2 linked regions of the Cricetulus griseus genome follow. The protein of the gene in region 1 interacts with the protein of each later gene in a biochemical or structural test. Links are inferred from orthologs where the notes say so. Each region holds a gene or a part of one and is shown on either strand. Other genes may lie near its edges. The genes, in order: Stat2 and Ifnar1.

Region 1 (8,934 bases):
TCCCAGTGCTCAGAAACCTGAGCACCCAGACCTACAGGAGTGATTCTCTCAAGAACTGGAGAAGTAGAGGCGAGACTGCCTAAGGCAGCAAAGCTTCACATCTTCCTAAGGGACCAGGATTGTTGTGTAGGGGAGGGGTGAGCAGGGCTGGAGACCACTAGGAGGAATACTATTTGCCATGCTCATCCTTAGGATAGAGTTCACATGGTGGGCTGAAGCAGACAGCTCTCAGCCTCTACAGGGAAAAAGGAGATTTAGAATTGGAGTCGGGAGCCAAGGGAGAAGAAAAGGAAAGGGTTAGTTAGACCTGAAGTGGCCATTAGACAGGACTAAAGCACTTGGGGTATGGCTCAGTGCCAGTGTAGTTGCCTGCCACAGTTGAGAGTCCGGCTTTGACAAGACCCAGGATAGCAAAGGGGAGGGAGGACAAAACTCCATCCATCTCTGTGCTCCCCACAAAGGTCACACCAATTTGGCCTTACCAATCATCAAACCATTAAAATCTTACCATACTGCAAAGATAGCACTGCCTTGGGTATCCTCTAACAATCTCTCAAATGTCCTAGCTTGCCCTCAGGACCCCTGCATCTCCCAGCATGGCAGGCAGACTCAGGATCCTAGCAAGACTACGGCCAGTGTCTGTTCTGATTCTTTGGTGCACCTTCAAAGCCATCTTACACTTTTACCTCTTACTCCAAAGTCCATGGCTAACCCAGCTCAGAAGGCCTCATCTCCCACTGTAGGGAGGACAGAGGGGAACGAGACTTCTAGTCATCAGAAGGAATCAAGGGTCCATCCACATCAAAATGGCTCTGGCAGGACATGTAGGCTTCGTCTCCGATGTTCTGATCAGCCAACAGCGGGTCACCGTGGGGCATGATGTCATCAATATTTATGATGTTGTTTCTGAAAACTAGAGCACACAGAGAAAATGTCAGTCCCTGATCCAAGTTGGATGCTCCCAACAAGAAGAACAGGCACAGTCTGGGGCTGAAGGGGATCTTGGGAAATGGAAGAACAGAGTGGGACACAGGAGGTGCTTGCACTTCCTAACATTGGGAAATTAACCAGGGCCTTGGAGCTCACCTTTTAGTAATGGGTCAGAGTGAGGTAGCTAAAGGTGTCCCCTCTTCCCCAGCCTGGCCTTGTCACTTACTTTCCATATCCACCATGTTCAGCTGCTGCAGATCTTGAGGTAAATCTGACTCTGGTGACAGCTGCGAGGCAGGTCCTGGGTCTGCCTCTGGCATTGTTTGTGGGTCCACACACGGTGTGGGGTTTAGTTCCAGCTTTGTCCCTAGATCCAGCCCTTCCTCCAGCAGCGTCTGTAAATCCAGGTCTTGTTCTAATGTCATGGCTGACATGAGATCTTCATTTAGCTCTAACGGATCCAGTTCTGCTTCCGGTTTAAGTTCTGGAGGTTGCTGCAGCTCGTCCACCTGTCTAGGTAGACAAGGACAGACAATGGGACAAGACTCAGTGAGTGTGATAAAGTGAGAAAAGGCAGAGCAAGCAGGGGCTGTGTTTCTAGTCTAAGAAGGAGATGGGGATCTAGGTGTGTTTGCACATAGCTTTACCCAGCACTCAGGAGGCAGAGGCAGGTGGATCTCTGTGAGTTTGAGACCAGTCTGGTGTACATGGTGAGACCCTGCCTGGGGTGGGGGACAGATGCAAAGGTCTAAAGGCCTTGGGCTTTATAATCAAGATTTTAAGATTTTTGTTATTCTGTCTTCCTTTGAGACAGGGTCTCATATAGCCCAGGCTGGCCCTTCAAATCTCTACATAGCCAAGGCTAGACTGGAACTTGTATGCCTTCTGCTCTCCACTCCCCAAATGCTGGAATCATAGGCACATACTGCCACCACATCTGGCCTTGAAATCCCTCTCACTTACTAGCTAGATGAATCACATATTATCAGTTACATTTTTTTAAGTTTATTTTTACTTTCTGTGTGCAAGCATTTTGCCTTTGCATATGGCTGTGCCCGAGTTTGATATGATACCATTACTGTTACCCACTCCTGTGGGTCCTCATAAGGGCTGAACAACAAAAGGTTTTAGAAAATCCAGTACTATGACTGGCATCAGGAAGAGTCCCATTACGTGAGTGGTTTTGATCATGGCCACCAGGGAGATGGCAGGAAACCATGAGAGAAGAGAGAAGTTGGTGCCTGGGGTCAGCAGGCAGAGGATTTTGAGTGAAGGGTTTGTATCTCACCTGTTGGAGACCACAATTAGCCTGTGTTTCAGGTATTTCCTCCGCTCTTCAAAATTAACTGTGGGGACACAGACAGGAGGTGGGAGAGATCAATGTGTTGGACACGTGACAGTCCTGACAAATGTACCTCCCTATTAAGGGGCATGCGCCATGGACAAATGTGCCCTGTGTGTGAAAGGAGGGAGATGGACTTTCCAATATCTGAGGAACCTTTCACTCTAGGAAGGATGTATGCCAATGATCCCAACCTTTTTCCTGGTAGTAGCACCCAAAAGCTTCATCCCGAGGGATTCTGGGATAGAGGAAGCGTAAAGGGTTCTCAGGGATGTTCTCGTCGGCAAGAACCTGGTAGTGGCGGATTATTTCTGTCAGTGGGAGTGACTGTAGCACTTCCTTGGTGTAGGGCTGCACGGAGTAGATGATCACTTTATCTGAAAAATAGTGGGCTTGAGGTGAGGCTAGCCCCAGAGTTCTCTGCCTTAGCTGCCCAACCTCAAAGCTACTATGGGATCCAGGCAGAGTCCCAGAAACCAAGAGCAGACAGAGGGTCAGAGAGGGTGGGGTGGGGTGCCTGGCAGAGAGTAGAGACTGCAGGAACAGTTGGGGGTGTGTGATGGGTGTATGTGATGGGGTGTGTGTGTGTGACTGTGTATGTGTGTGTGTAATGAGGTGTGTGGTGGGTGTATGTGATGGTGTGTGTGTGTGTGTGTGTATGTGTGTGTAATGGGGTGTGTGATGGGTGTATGTGATGGGTGTATGTGATGGGGTGTGTGGGTGTGTAATGGTGTGTGTGTGTGTGTGTGTGTGTGTGTGTGTGTGTGTGTGTAATGGGGTGTGTGATGGGTGTATGTGATGGGTGTATGTGATGGGGTGTGTGGTGTGTGTATGTGTGGTGTGTGTGTGTGTGTGTGTATGTGTGTGTAATGGGGTGTGTGATGGGTGTATGTGATGGGTGTATGTGATGGGGTGTGTGGGTGTGTAATGGTGTGTGTGTGTGTGTGTGTGTGTGTGTGTGTGTGTGTGTGTAATGGGGTGTGTGATGGGTGTATGTGATGGGTGTATGTGATGGGGTGTGTGGGTGTGTAATGGTGTGTGTGTGTGTGTGTGTGTGTGTGTGTGTGTGTGTGTGTCATTGGGGTATGTGACAGCGTGTGTGAAGAGGTATAATGGGGGCACCAACCATCATCCTGGTGCTCCACCCAAGAGCAAGTGATGCCCCCCTCAGAAGTTTCACTGAAGCGCAGAAGAAAGGTCCCAGAGACCATCTTCTTCAGCAGTCGGCGTTCCTGGTTCCGGCTCACAAAGCCCATGATGTGCCTGGAGCAGACAAAGTCACTGTAAGGTCCCAAGGTCCCTGTCCCATTCGTGTGGAAGTGGGAACTGGGATTTGGCCCTATTTCTGTCACTTTGACAATGCTCCTACCCCCAAGATTTGAAGGGGTGTGAGCATTCAATGAGGATACAATAAAGAAAGGTATGAGGTAAGGAGTGACAGACGGCTCAGCAGCTAAAGGTACCTGCCACCAAGCCTGACCACCTGAGTCCAGTCTCTGATCTACACACACACACACACACACACACACACACACACACACACTAACTACACACACACACACTACGTAAAAACACAATAGAGCTGGACATAGCATCTAATATTTTTAATCCCAGCTCTCTGGAGGCAGAGGCAAGTGGATTTGTGAGTTCAAGGCCAATGTGGTTTACATAGCAAGTTGCAGGACAGCCAGCCAGAGCTACATAATAGAGACTCTCTCTCTCTCTCTCTCTCTCTCTCTCTCTCTCTCTCTCTCTCTCTCTCTGTGTGTGTGTGTGTGTGTGTGTGTGTGTGTGTGTGTAAAAAGGCCAGGTGATGGACAGTTGCCCAAGCCTGAGTCTATTCCCAATTCTGTCCATTAAGCCAGTTCCTAATTTCTCCAAGAATGGGTTTCCTCATGAGACTGAAGGTGGAACTATTCACCACACTGGTGACACAATGAACAGAGCCTGCAGGGACTGAGCACCCTGCAGGCTCTGCAACACTGCAGACACTTGACAAATACAGGCCATAATTACTATTACTAACGGGACCTCCCGTCAGTTTTTGGTCTCTCCCGTGCCATAAGGGGGCGCACGAAGTCCACTCCTGAGCCCAGTGAGAGAAAACCCTGGATAGGAGGGCTGAGAAAGGCCTTACCCATCATTCCAGAGCTCCTTCAGGTGGTCATGGACCAGCTCCAGAATTTTGTCCAGCCACGTCCAGAAAGGGATCTTGCCAGGGGGGCTGTCTCTCTGAAGGAGGAATGGAAAGGCAGGAAGAGATTGGAGCTACCCTTAGTGTAGGGAAGGGTCGAGGCAGGGCCAGAATTGGGACTGGGGACTAGAGAGACACAGGCTGCTGGGAATTACCTTACTGAAGTCCACCCAGGACAACAATGCATCCTCCATCCTGCAGTTCTTTCCTGTAGGACAGGGTCACAGATGGTTTGGATGAATGAAGGAGGCCATGGGGGCCAGGCAGAGGGCCTGGGATAGGACACAGGGTAGGGGCAAGCTAGGCTAGGGAAAGAGTGAGAACAAAGAAAAACTGTACCAAAGAGCTTGTTCTTCAGCATGCCCAGCTGCTCAGAATTGAGGCCTCGGCCAACATACGAGGAGAATTGCCAACTGAGAACAGGCCCCAGCAAGCTCCAGGGGGCTTTAGGAGCATGGCAGAAGAATTTGGGGTTCTGTGGGGGAGAGGGAGGTGAGATGGCTCAAAAGCAGCCCTTCCCGCCATGCCTTCACTCCTCTCTGCTCCTCACCCATTCACCTCATCCTCCTACCTGGGGGGTTGGGCTGAGCATGTTGAACCAGAGAACTGAGGCCCAGGCAATGGAGAGCTGGTTCATGTTAGAAATGATCACCACAGGGAGCGTGTCCGTCTGGGAAACAGACAGAAGTCATGGTGGTGGCAGACGTCTGCCTTGGGGCCTGGATGACACCTCACTCTGGGAGACCTTGGGACACTTCCGTTGGTGTCTGTGCGGTGCCCCCTGTGTGTTTCTTCTAAATGTGCTGCCTCCTCCTTCCCTGCTTCCCCTCACTCACCTGCAGCTCCATCTTCAGACCTTGGTACACGTATTGCACCACAAAGCTGATGACATGTAACTCCTCCATTACGGCCAGCGGCCCCTGGAGAGTCACAGTGATTAGAGGGCTCCTTGGTCAGTCGAGGCTCTGGAGAGTCCCCCCAGCCTTACCTTATTGGTGCCCTTTCCTGTCCCCACAGAACGTTGCTCCACCAGCGTCTGTGAACGGAGGGAAATACAATGCCAGGGAGGGGACCCAAAGGCCAAGACCTGGAAATATTCCTCCAACCCTGGTCCTTCGAATTAGTGGCCAATTCTATTAACCCTTCTTACCAAGAAGCCAAAGTCCCAAACTAAACCTTGTCTCTGGCCCTCCTCAGGGGTCAAGGTTTTTTGGTTTGAGGTCAGAATGTTGAATTTCCGGAAGCTGTTCCAGGGAAAAGATATACGGAGACAAAGAGCAAGTTAGTGTCTGTCTGTCTGTCTCTGTAGCCCAGGCTGGCCTTGTATTCTCAGTGATCCTCTTGCCCCAGACTCCTAAGTACTGAAGTTTCAGGTGTATCCCACTATGCCATACTCAGAGTTAGTTTTAAGAATCAGCAGGAAAGGGCCAGTGAGATGGCTCAACAGGCAGAGAGGTTGTGGCCAAGCCTGATTACTTGAGTTCAAACCCCAAGACCCACATGGTGGGAGGAAAGAGCAGACTCCCACTAGTTGTCCTCTGATCTATACATATTTCCATATTTTTCTTTCTTGATCTTGGGCATGTACACACACACACACACACACACACACACACACACACACACTAGCTCTTTCTGTAACTAAAATCCAAATAAAAAAACAAAAATCCCACTTCATTTCAGACTTCCTCTTCTCCTGTTGTCCATGCCCCACCCACATCCCCTTCCTTCCGTGGACCCCACCGGTGTTGCCAACCGTGGTAGTGCAGGCCATGTATGCAGAGTGCATGTGCTTATCAGACACCTACCCTGGTAACTCTGAATTCCTGAAAAGAAAGAAAAAAGACAATCACTGGTCCTGTGGGGGACAGGGAGATGGCTCAGAAGCACCCCGTCCCACCAAGCCTCCACTCAGGAGGTAAAAGTGGATAGGAATTTGGTCTTGGTAGTCAGGACAGGTTCTAGAGTTCACTGGCCACATGGCCTGTCAGACGAGACACGGTATTTCTGAGTTCATGTCCTTATTTGTCACTAATACCCACCTGGTGGCTGTGTTAGTAAAACGAGCCTGAGACACGCTGCATGGCAGCGAGTGTGTGCTTGGTGAGAGGGGGGTGGGCTTTGCTGCTGTTGTTTAGTTTTTGTGTGTGTGGTTTTTTTGTTGTTGTTGTTGTTGTTGTTTAAAGATTTTATTCATTTATTATGTATACGGTCTTGTGCCTGCATGCCAGCAGAGGGCACCAGATCTCATAACAGATGGTTGTCAGCCGGGAATTGAACTCAGGACCTCTGGAAGAACAGTCAGTGCTCTTAACCTCTGAGCCATCTCTCCAACCCCGTGTGTGTGGTTTTTGTTGTTTTATTTTTCTTTTGTTTTTGTTTTTTGTTTTTGTTTTTGTTTTTTTTTTTTGAGACAGGGTTTCTCTGTGTAGCCCTGGCTGCCCTGGAACTCACGCTATACACCAGGCTGGCCTCAAACTCACAGAGATCTCCCTACCTCTGCCTCCCTCCCCCCATTAAAGGGGTGCACTACAACTCCTGGCTTCACTTCTGTAAGGTAGAATGGCACGGACAGGAGGCAGTCTGAGGGTCCAGCTGTGCAGCGACTACCGCTGGCACCAGTCCATCCCCACTGGCCATCTTAGTCACATCCTTCAGCCGCTCAACTTACCTGTCAATGGAGACCTCTGCTTTGAGTGACTCGTTGCCCTCCTGGAGTCTCACCAGCAGTCTGGGGGGAAAGGAGATGGGTTGGATATAGTGGTCAATCTTAAATTTGTTGTTGTTTGTTTTCGAGACAGGGTTTCTCTGTATAACAGTCCTGGCTGCCCTGGAACTAGCGCTGGAGACCAGGCTGGCCTCAAACTCACAGAGATCCTGCCTCTGCCTCCCGAGTGCTGGGATTAAAGTCGTGCACCACCACTGCCTAGTTCTCAAATTCTTGATAAGGTCAGATGTGTAGAAAAAACTGTGTGTGTGGGGGGGTGGGGGACTAGAAGGGGAAGGTAGACTGGAGGGGGAAGAAGAAATTTCCATCAGCTAAAGAATCTGCAAAGTCAGAAAAGGTACAATGGCAGAGTAGGAGAAAACAAGGCAGGGGTTAGAAAATCAAGCAACCTTGTTCGGACAGTGAACTTGCTCCCAGTCTTCAGGATGAGGGGTCGATGAAGGGTTTGGGGCATGCAGGGCTGGGTTTCTACCACAAAGGACCTAAGGAAGAGGCATGGAGAGAAGATAACAGTTCAGTGTCTGTAACAACCGGAACCCCACGTTTCTTCCTTGTTCCTCCCACCACAGACCCCTCCCAGGCCACCAGACCTTTGGAGCAGGCGTTGTAGTAACTCTGTGACTTGGGCATTTTGCAGGTCCACCCCTTTGCTGAACATGTCCCCGTCATACTTAAGCATGTGGCTCATTTCCTTCAGCTGTCTCAGCAGCTGTCGAAGGTGGAACAGGAGCTTTGCTCCAGCCGTCAACCTGCATGACACAGTCCGGAGAGAGAGGATGTGTGAGTTTCACAGGGCCCCACTGAGGTTCTGGGTGCTCTCCTTTTAATAATGTGGAGGGTTGGAAACTGACTTGAGGGGCTGGGGAGATGGCTCAGGGGTTAAGAGCACTGGCTGCTCTTCCAGAGGACCCAAGTTCAGTTCCCAGCACCCACATAGCAGCTCACAGCTGTCTGTAACTCCAGTTCCAGGGGACCCAACACCCTTCCCAGGCATACATGAGGCAAAACACTAATGCACACAAAATAAAATAAAACAAAACAAAAACCTCACTCGACTAAAAAAGAACCCAGAACCAGGTATGCCACTGCCTCCTTGTTCTTCCACACTCTCAAGGTTAAGTAGGAGGGTTCGAGAGTTTAAGGCCAGCCTGGGACACATGAGACCCTGTCACAAACAAACAATGCAGGAAACATATGGCAAAGTATTCAATACAATTTTTCCCTAGTCAGAGTTTCTGTGTGTAGCCCAGGCTACCCTGGAGCTCACTCTGGAGATCCACCTGCCTCTGCCTCCCAGGTACTGGGATGAAAGACATGAGCCAATACTAACCTGATTCAACACAATTTTTACTCCAAGAGATTAAACTCAAAACTGCTTTGTTACACAAAACTGATAAAAGTTTTATTAACATGATGACACTTTATTTTGTACAGGAGGTGCGATATGTGCAGGTCAGAGTTGTGCATCGTCATTGATGGCTCCTCAGCTCTCTGAGACAGGCTCTCTCACTGAACCTGGTTCTCACCATTTTGCCTAAGAGGCTGGCCAGCAAACCCTGGGTCTCTGACTATTTCTTCCGACTTGGTGCTGGGGTTACAGGTACCTGGTATTAGGCCCAGCATTTTTTTTTTTTTCATTTGGTTTTTTCGAGACAGGATTTCTCTGTGTAACAGCCCTGGCTGTCCTGGAACTCACTATTTAGTTCGAGGCTGGCCTCAAACTCACAGAGATCTACCTGC
Region 2 (9,862 bases), on another chromosome or scaffold:
CAGCTGGGGCAGCAGTCTGTACAGCAAGCCGAAAAGTGAAACTGAAACCGAAACCAGCCACCTGACTGCCCTTCACTCTACATCACCCTGACCACGCCTTTGCAGGCATGGCTACAGCATCCCCTACACCTAATTCTTACATTTCAGGTCAGTGAGAGACCCTGTCTCAAAAACAAGGTGTGAACTGCACATGAGAAAGAACATTTAAAGCTGACTTCTGGTGTCCACTTGCTTACACATATGTGTGGACCAACACAAACGCACATACGCATACACAAACAACAAGAAAACATTTGACAGAGCTATATTGAGGGGCTGGGAGATGGCTCCCATCTTCAAACTCATGGCAGTTCTCCTGCCTGAGCTCCTGAGAGCTGAGGTCATGAGTGTGGTTCATGCGTGCCTTGTGTCAATTCTTGAGACTGTAACTCCTCAATTTGGTATACATTCTAAAAGGCATGCACACCTACAATAATAACAATACATTCATTTTTAAATGTTTTAATATGTTGTGATAGTTATTCTTGGTTGTCAACTACCTCTGGAATTAACTAAAACCCAAGGGGCTGGGCACACCTGTGAGGATTTTTCTTGATTGAATTGTTTGAAGCAGGAAGATATAAAACCAAAACAGGAGCCGAATTGCTATTAAGTCTCCATACTTTACAGAATAAGTTTGTTTCCTAAGCCTACTATATCCTGTCAGCCATGGTTTCCAACCCATGCTGAATTTGTGACCCCATGGTGTGTGCCCACCCCTTTGCCTTAGTAAATGCCTGCACACCTGTCATGACCGCCTGTGCATTGGACATGTTCTTGTGCCCTGAGTCCCCCTCTCTTCCGTCCAGGTGCTAACAGCCAATGATCTCAACAGCTGTTTTCTACCACCCGTAACCCTTGCCCCTAAAAGGGACCTCAAATTAGGGCTGCTCTCTGAAACTCTGATTTAGAGGAGGCAGTCATCTGACCGGTCCCATGTGCACTTCTGAATATAGTCAGTCATAGAAACCGTTTTTCTCAGGTCTAACAAGACCCCATCCTAAGTCCCTTCTTCCGGTGGGAAAATCCACCTTTGACCTGGGTGGCAACTATATGAGGACACAGGAGGAGGAAGGTTTCTCTCTGCCTGCTTGCTCTCACTGGCAAGTCCTTCACTGGCATTAGAGCCTCCTTCTCCGGGATTCTGGTGTGTACTGAAGACCAGCCGAGACATCCTTGAACTTGCTGCTGGGAGACCAAGACTGCCATTGTTGGACTACCTGGACCACAGCCTCTAAGCCACTCTCATAGTCCCATAAGTGCAAACATACATACAAACATACATACATACATACATACATACATACATACATATTTCTGTTTCTGTTCTACCCCTTCTGTTCACACAGAGAACCCCAACTGATATGGATGTTTGTTCCCACATTGTGTTTTCATCAATCTCTTCCAGCTACCATTCCTCCTCAGGTTACTGCCATCACCCCCACTAGGGATTCTTTGCATGCCTATATCAGTTGTCTACACCATCCCATGAGCAACTGTCATCGACTAATTTATGAAATTACTTTTTTGGGAAAACATTTCAAATACTGAAGATGAAACAAAAAGCCTCCACAGTGTCACTTTGCACCTTAGACTTCCAGCTGTCATGTGGGGAAGGGAGCTTGGCTGAGATTGGAGGCGGAGCTTTTGAACCTCCAGGGTTGTGTGTAGCACAAAACGCATCCACAGTTTTGTGTTTTATGTTAGAGTTCTGGGGCACTAGCCTCTGGATTGAAGTTTGATTTTTATGTTTTCTCATCTTTTTATTATTATTATTATTATTATTATTATTACATGTTTGCTATGAGTGCTGCAAGTGTGGGGCAATCAGGACAGGTTGTGGTGGTCGGTCTGTCTCCACCGTGAGGATCCCAGAGATCTGTCCCAGGTCATTTGCCCTTGGTTAAATGCTTTCCTCTGCGCACTCTTGCCAAACCCCAGCTTGATTTTGAAACAGATCACTGATAGATCACTTGACACAGCCTGGAGTCATCTGAAAGGAAGCCCGGCTTGAGGGTTGTGTAGATAGGATGGGCCTTTGGGTATGTCTGTGGGACTGTCTTATTGTTAATCGGTGTCGGAGGGCAAAGCCCTCTGTACCACTTCATAGGCAGGTGGCCCGCAGCTGTGTAAGAAAGCGAGCCTAGTATAGGCCTGAGAGCAGACCAGCAAGTGGTGTCCTTCCAGCTTTCTGCTTCAAGTTCTTGCACTGCCTTCCCTCAATAACGAATGGCCTGTACCCTGGAGTATAAGTCAAGTAAACCCTTTCCTCCTAGCGTGTTTTATTGCAACCATTGTTGCTAAATGAGAACCCTTATTTGCATGACTTCCAAGTAATCACCTAAGCAAGGTTTCTCTATACTAGTGACCTTAGGGCCAGGTAATCCTTGAGGTAAAGCTGGCCTTGCCTCATAGGATTCAAGCGTCAGTAGCACTGCCTTATAGTAGCAATACCAAAACTGTTTCCAGACATTATCAGTGTCCTCAGCAGTGCTGCAAGCCATTTCCTCCAGAGCAGACATGAGCACTCATTGTTTGTTTTTGGAGACAGGGTTTCTCTGCGTAGTTTTGGAACCTATCCTGACACTCGCTCTGGAGACCAGGCTGGCCTCAAACTCACAGAGATTCACCTGCCTCTGCCTCCGGAGTGCTGGGATTAAAGGCATGTGCCACCTACTCCTGGCTTGCCTTGGGCTTTTTTTACCCTTCTTTATACCTTGCTTTCCTGCTGGCTCTGTGTCTGCCTGTCTAGTGGCTTCCCGGTTTCTGGCCCCAGGAGTCTCCCTCATTCTCTCCTCTCTTCTTCCTTTCTATTTATTCCCTCTGCCTGGCAGCCCCGCCTAGCTATTGACCCCTCAGCTTTTTATTAGATCAATCAGGTGCCTTAGACAGGCAAGGTGAAAGTGCTGCAACACGTCTCTACGTAATTAAACACACATCCTTACGTCATTAAACAAATGCAGAGTAAACAAAAGTAATACACCTTTACACTGTTAAGTAATATTCCACAGTATAAACAAATGTAATACATCTGCAGCCCAGTTATTCCACAGCATGAATGGACTTAGAAGCAAGGCCACCAATCTTGGGGGCGGGGATTTCTCCTTCATATGTGGATCCTAGCCTCTGGCTACATGTGTATAATTGAACATGTACTTGAAAGTAGTATAACAAGTTATAGAAGAACAAGAATGGATAATTACAACATAAAATGCCTACTCAGGAGCTCACACATACACTTTGTGTAAGTTCTGTGTCTGTGCTCCCAAAGTATAACACATTTCCAGTGTAAAGTAAGTCCGTAAATGGATATTGACTGTGTGATTCCACGAGAGGCTATTTATATTACTGTGAGACCTGAATTGTAAATTTGTGTTTTCATTGACATTCTTCTAGAATGTAGTTCTAAATACTACTAAATACAATGTACTTGATCCTTTACACAGGAATTTTTGCTATTCAGATTACAGAGGTAAAGTTTGTAGCAAGTATGTTTAAAATACTGTATTTTCAATGCACTGAGACTACCTGGAAATACTGCTTTGTTTCAAAGAGTAGCATGTCAGAAATATAAAACATAAGAGTTTTTTTTGGGGGGGTATATGGGGATTTTTTCCCCCACTGTAGCAAATCTATATTGTATCATTGTTGATAGATAAGCGTGCTTTAAAAAAAATTAAACAACAAATAAACTAAAGTCCCTTTAGGAGGTAGTAATGAAACAGAGTTAAGGGGCTAGAGAGATGGCTCAGTGGTTAAGAGCACTTGCAGAGGACGGGATTCGGATACCTAAGATGGGTAACGCCAGGGCCAGGGCATCTGGCACGTTCTAGAAGCCCTCACGGGTACCAGGCACGCACGTATGTGTGGCACACATACATACATGCAGGCATAACAATCACACATAAAACCAACCTCAAAATATTTTAGCGATCAGATTCAAATGCTGAGTAATCCAAACCCCACAGACGGTGCTAATCTACACAGCAAACCGTCCCATGGGTCCCGCTGCGATTTCAACCAAGGCGTCGAGCATAAAAATCGTACAGTGGACACAGTGGACGCTGTGTCGCCCGTGCCCACCGGGTCCCAGGGTCGGGGCATGCCCCCACCAGGGGCAAGCAGGCGGACCAGCCACCCGTGAGGCGACGCCTCGTGGCAGCGGACCAACCCCGCCCCAGGGCAAAAACAGGAAGCGAGGGGCGGGGTTCGGGATGTGACCGGGAGGATCTGCGCAGGCGCGCTGGCTGCGCCCGCGTTTCTCTCTGGAGATGGCTGCGGTAGCCCGTCTTGACGGAAGTGGGAGTGGGGCGTGACAGGGACCGCTGTGGCCGGAGGTCAGCGCGAGTAGAAGGCTAGATCTCCCGGGACCTTCAAATCGTCTTGCTCCCCAGGGGCCTCCGGGGCGGAGGGGCGGGGCATCCGCGGAGGGGCGGGCGTCGCGGGAAAGGGGCGGGGCGTCGCGGGAAGGGGCGTGGCGTCACGGGGAAGGGAGGGCCGCGCTGCTCCGCGACCGCCGCAGCGACGCAGGAGGAGACGGGGATGTGAGCCACGGGCCCGGCGTGCGGGGACGATGCTCGCGCTGCTGGGCTCGGCGGCCCTGGTGCTGGTGGCCGGGGCGCCGTGGGTGCTGCTCGCAGCCGCAGGTGAGCCGAGGGGCCTGGCCGAGGGCCGGGCGGCGGGCAGGGGGAGGCCTGGGCCGCTCTGCGGGCGCGGGTGGCCGGAGTCCCCGCACGCTGGCTGACCCGGGCTCCCTCCCGGCGCCCGCGCCCTGCCCCAGCCGGGGACGCTCGCACGCTCGCACGCTCGCTCGGGGCGGAGGGAGGGCGGGAGGGAGAGCAGACGGCCGCAGAATCGCGCTGGCCCAGCCTGGTGCAGCTCGTCCCGGCTCGCCCGGCACTGAGAGCCGCCCTAACGGGCCGAGGCCGGAGCGTCTCACAAACACGGACAAGCAAGCCGGGAAGCCAGTGGGCCAGCTGGCTGGGGAACGGCGACAGACAAGGCCTCTTCCTGGAGGCCTAAGGACCCAGAAGGCAGCCAGGCCGCGGCAAGCTCGGCTTCCTCTTAGGAATCGGACGCCCCAAGTGTCACCCTCCCTCCTGCAGATAGCGCCCAGGACTGTAACCTCGCGCAGCTGGCCTATAGGAGCTTTCTCTTAGAAGTCCTCAGTGGTGGCGCTCGCCTTTAATCCAGCACTGGGGAGGCAGAGGCAGGTGGATCTCTGTGAGTTCGAGGCCAGCCTGGTCTCCAGAGCGAGTGCCAGGACAGCCTCCAAAGCTACACAGAGAAACCCTGTCTCAAAAGAAAACAAAAAAGAAATCCTCACGTTCGTGTTTACTGCGATCTGCAAGGGAACGCCTCCCTGTTTTCCTGTGAAATGGACATCCGAAGTTAATTTTAGCCCGCTGTGGTGACATTCACCTGTCATCTCGGCCCCGGAGATACTGAGGCAAGAGAAACAGTAGCACCGGGCCACCGCGTCTGTGCTCAGTACTGAGGCTGTGTCTCAGAAGAATTGACCTCAAACTGAGCCAGTTACCGAGGCTCACTCTATAGGCGCATTTGCTGGACTCTTGCTACGCTTGTCACAGAGTGTTTTAAAGTAATAAACTAAACTTTCAGCGCTGCCGTTCCACAGATGGGGAAACTGAGGCACTCAGGTTTAAGTAGCCTGCCTAACATCGTGCACCAGTTTCTGACTGAATCGAAAAAACCATGCATTGATCGTCTTAACTGAGAGCCGTGTGGCTTAACCGCGCTGAGCAGTTGTTGTTTTGATTGTGTGTGTGTGTGTGTGTGTGTGTGTGAGAGAGAGAGAGAGAGAGAGAGAGAGAGAGAGAGAGAGAGAGAGAGAGAGAGAGAGAGAGAGGAGAAGAGAGGAGGAAAAGAGGAGAGAGGGAGAGAGAGAGGGGGAGAGGAGAAGAAGGGGGAGAGGGGAAAAAGGAGAGAGGGAAAGAAGGGAGAGGGAGGAAAAGAGGGAGAGAGAGAGAGAGAGAGAGAGAGAGAGAGAGAGCGCGCATTCATTGTGCGCCGCCTGTGTGCTCAGGAAACCGGAGGGCAGAGGCGAATGTCGGGCGCCTGGCTCTGCTGCTGCCCTCCGTATTGGGACAGGATCTCTAACTGAACGTGGAGCTGGATAATATACTGGCCGCCCATCAAGCTCGGAGGACCCCCCTGCTGCCGTCTGCTCCACACCGGGATGGCTGGCACGTGCTGCCACGCCCAGCTGGAGACCCGAACTCAGATTCTCACGCTTGCGCCATTTCCTTTAAGGCAGGTTCTAACCCGGCTGGCTTTGAACTTGAACCCTCTTGCCTCTGCTAGTTGAGTGCTGGGATTACTGGCATATGCTACCACCCCGAGCCAGAGATGGGTTAGTTGTTTTGTTGTTTTGAGATGGCCCTGGCAGAACTGGTACTCACAGAGATCAACCCACCTCTGCCTCTAGAGTACTGGGATTAAAAGTGTGCACCACCACACCCAACCAGAGCTGTTTTCCTAAAGGAAAACATTTCAAATAAAATAGTTGACTATCCTTTTACATGTTAAAGCCCTCCTTAGCCCTCTTGCTGTTAATGCTCTTCTCCCCCTAAAGGGACAATAATGTTGAAAAATTAGTGAATGGGTACTCTAAACTTGAGATTGTAATGTTGGTCCTTACTCCACAACTCAAATAAAATAAAATAAAATCATTCTTTTTGTCCTAGTAAGGGCCAGTCTAGGACTTTAGACCAAGAAAATTGTCCAACAAGTTAATGAAATCCTGCTGTATAAATGGATGGATGGATGTCTCTATGTTTACATCAGATTTCAGAAAATAGTACACCCTAGTGGTCAGCAAGATGAACATTAAAGCTTGGAAGCAACTGAAATTATAAATAAACGCTCATATATAAATTTTATATCTTGGACCAGCAAGATGGCTAAGTAGGAAAAGGTACCTGCCCCCAAGCCTGAGGACCTGAGTTCAATCCCCAACCCACTTGGTAGAGAGACCCGACTCCAGCAATCTGTCTTCTGACTTCCACATGCTCGCTCTAACATAAATGTGCCCACAGATAGACAAACACATGCACAAATTCAGTAATGTTATGTTACATGCTAAGGGGGGAATAAACTGTTGTTACTGACACTGCAGAATCTATGAAACAACGTCCAGTTAACTCTCATTTCCAAATCTCCATTCACTTCTGAGTCACCAAAGCACCAAAATGGTTTTACCATCAGGGGCTCCTTCAGTTAGAGAGATGATGGCACCCTGGAAGCATCAGGGGCTCCTTCAGTTAGCGACATGGCACCCTGGAAGCACCCCTATCTGTACCTCATCAAATCTCCACCTCCTCTCCGGCTCACAATCATTTTAATTACAATATTACCAACAGGGTTAGAGTGGTGACTCAGCAGTTTAGAACGTTGGCTTGTCTTTCAGAGGACCCAGGTTCAAGTCCCAGTACCCAGTTCTAGGTAGACCGATGCCCTTTTCTGGCTAGACAGGGACATGGTGTACATGCAGACAAAGTACTGACACATATAAAATAAATCTGAAAAGGAATACTGTGACCGCGACAGATGCTATTGGATCTTCTGTTAATCTCCTAAACCCAATCACTGCCCTTTCCGCACAGTCTGTAAATTCCAGCAAGTGGGATGGGGATCGAGTTAAGAGGGGAGATTGTGTTTAGGCTGAAGGTGGAAGACTCTGGTGGGGGTCCTGGGTCTCTCCTCATCCGATCTAGCTATACTCTTAGCCTCTGGAGTAGAAGCGTCAGGATATGACGTGGTTGTCTGAGACAGAAGTCAAAACAGTGGGGCCAGATCTGAAAAGATAGTTTTAAAAAATTACAGCCTAGGCGCTGGAGAGATGGCTCAGTGGATAAGAGTGCTGTTGTGTAGCGGGACCTTTCCCTAACCCTGGTCCAGGGAGTTCAGTACCTTCTTCTGACTTCCGTATCATGAGGCACACGTGGTGCACACACATGCATGCAGGAAAGACACTCATGCACGTAAAGTAAACCTTAAAAAAAAAAAAGCATATCAGGACTGGAGAGGTGGCTCACTTCAATCTCTACCTCCAGAAAATCCTAACAGCACCTGCTCTCATCTGCTCACACCCACACACAGACACAACACAAATATAACTTTAAAAAGTGTGTGTGTGGGGGGGGATCTGCATAAGACCAAACTAAACTCCCTTAACATAGGTGACAGTGGTGTGACTGGGACAATACATGAGGCCACTGGCAGTGGGTCCAAGATCTAACTCTAATGCACAAATTGACTAAGTGGAGCCCATTCTGTATGGAGAGATAGCTTGCCCAGCCTAGACACAGGGGTGTGGGGGTGGAGAGGGGCCTTGGTCCTGCCTCAACGAGATCAATGAGATGATGGGACAGACTTAGTAGACTTCCTAGGGGAGGCCTCACCCTCTCCATGGAGAAGATGGGAGGAGGGAGAGTGGAGGGAGTAGGAGGAAAGGAAGGAGGGGGAACTGGGATTGTAATGTAAAAAATAAATTAATTTTAAAAAGAGAAAAAGAACAGAAAAAAAGGGGGGTTACAACATGTCTTTTTAAGGATTCTAGAAATATGACTAGCAGGAGTCAGTGTCTCCACCTAGACAGCACTTTAAACTCTTTGGAACTCTCTGGAGTGTGCCAAAGACTTTAAATCATTAGCCCAAAAGAGTGACTCTGCTTTCAAGGGAAATGAAATACTTTCTTCTGAAACAAATATGAGTGACCAAAACCCAAGAATACCTATTCAAAGGTTACATGATCTTTTTTTTGTTTCTGTACCCATAGAGCAAACAAGTTCTACGTTATTCAGTAACTATAAGGATGCAGGGAGCAGGGCATTACATAGACAAGTTATAGGAGCGAGGGACACCCACCAGCCACCAGAAGGAAACGATACCTTACCTCATTCTTAGAAGATTGTCTACCTCAGTGGTCTACTCTTCTACCTACTTCCCTGCAAGTGTTAGGTCAGGAGAGACACTTGTTTCTGAAGGTTCTGGAGCAGCCCTTGCCCCAGCCTCCCAGTGCCTGAGGCGGCAGATGGGTCTGTGCTTTAATTCCTTTTGGAGGAAGATGCTGTCTAAACATGGTCCTTCTTGGAATGTGGTCTATTGTCATAGTTTCTTTGGAAGTTTCTAGTTCACACAATTAAGACTATAAGAGACAGGCATTATATATTAGTAAAGGTTCTATATAGCAATTATAAAGGCCCGCACACCTCATGTTTAAATTGTGTACGAAATCTGTCCATCCTTCCTAGGGTGGGGATCTTCCCTTTGTCCAGGATATACAAATAACCAATAAAGTAGTACGGAGATTGTGTCCAAGCAACCCTCTTATTTACCTAATAATGGCCCAAGTCCTCAACCACACTGTAATTACTCTGTATTGTATTAATTTTTATTATCTTCTTATGTCTGTTTTATTAAGCTATCATAACTGTAATTATGTAGGAAAATGTCTGGATAGAGCTGGGCTCTCACTGCAGTTTGAGGCATCCACTGGGGGCCTTGGCTACAGTGCCCACATTTCAGAGGAAACTGCTGTATACTTTGCTCTGTGTGAATAAATTCTGTCCTGGGCTTAGTGTTTAAGTCCTTAACTGCACTTGGAAAGACCTGGATTCAGTTCCCAGCACCCACTTGGGGTTCAAAACCATCTGTATCTTCAATTGCAGGAGATCTGATGCCCTCTTCTCACCTACATGGAGTACACACACACAAAGTACTCTACATAAAATAGAATACATAAGTCAAATTTAAAATTTTTAAATACTTTTGTTATTCCCTGAAATTAAAATACAGTTAC

What was found.
Region 2: the proteins of Stat2 (region 1) and Ifnar1 form a complex in vitro, tested with the Homo sapiens proteins (2 studies listed by BioGRID). The link is inferred for Cricetulus griseus from reciprocal best matches to the Homo sapiens genes STAT2 and IFNAR1.

Annotation. Positions count from the first base shown.
Region 1 is NW_023276806.1:129,588,703-129,597,636, forward strand, and holds part of Stat2 (signal transducer and activator of transcription 2), read right to left. Parts: intron 7,944-8,934; coding exon 7,785-7,943; intron 7,677-7,784; coding exon 7,584-7,676; intron 7,198-7,583; coding exon 7,138-7,197; intron 6,293-7,137; coding exon 6,275-6,292; intron 5,711-6,274; coding exon 5,617-5,710; intron 5,503-5,616; coding exon 5,455-5,502; intron 5,387-5,454; coding exon 5,303-5,386; intron 5,137-5,302; coding exon 5,038-5,136; intron 4,942-5,037; coding exon 4,806-4,941; intron 4,675-4,805; coding exon 4,622-4,674; intron 4,505-4,621; coding exon 4,410-4,504; intron 3,536-4,409; coding exon 3,399-3,535; intron 2,650-3,398; coding exon 2,467-2,649; intron 2,277-2,466; coding exon 2,219-2,276; intron 1,444-2,218; coding exon 1,157-1,443; intron 914-1,156; coding exon 768-913; 3' UTR 1-767. UniProt on the Homo sapiens protein: Signal transducer and activator of transcription that mediates signaling by type I interferons (IFN-alpha and IFN-beta).
Region 2 is NC_048597.1:6,299,004-6,308,865, reverse strand, and holds the start of Ifnar1 (interferon alpha/beta receptor 1), read left to right. Parts: upstream 1-4,530; 5' UTR 4,531-4,612; coding exon 4,613-4,685; intron 4,686-9,862. UniProt on the Homo sapiens protein: Together with IFNAR2, forms the heterodimeric receptor for type I interferons (including interferons alpha, beta, epsilon, omega and kappa).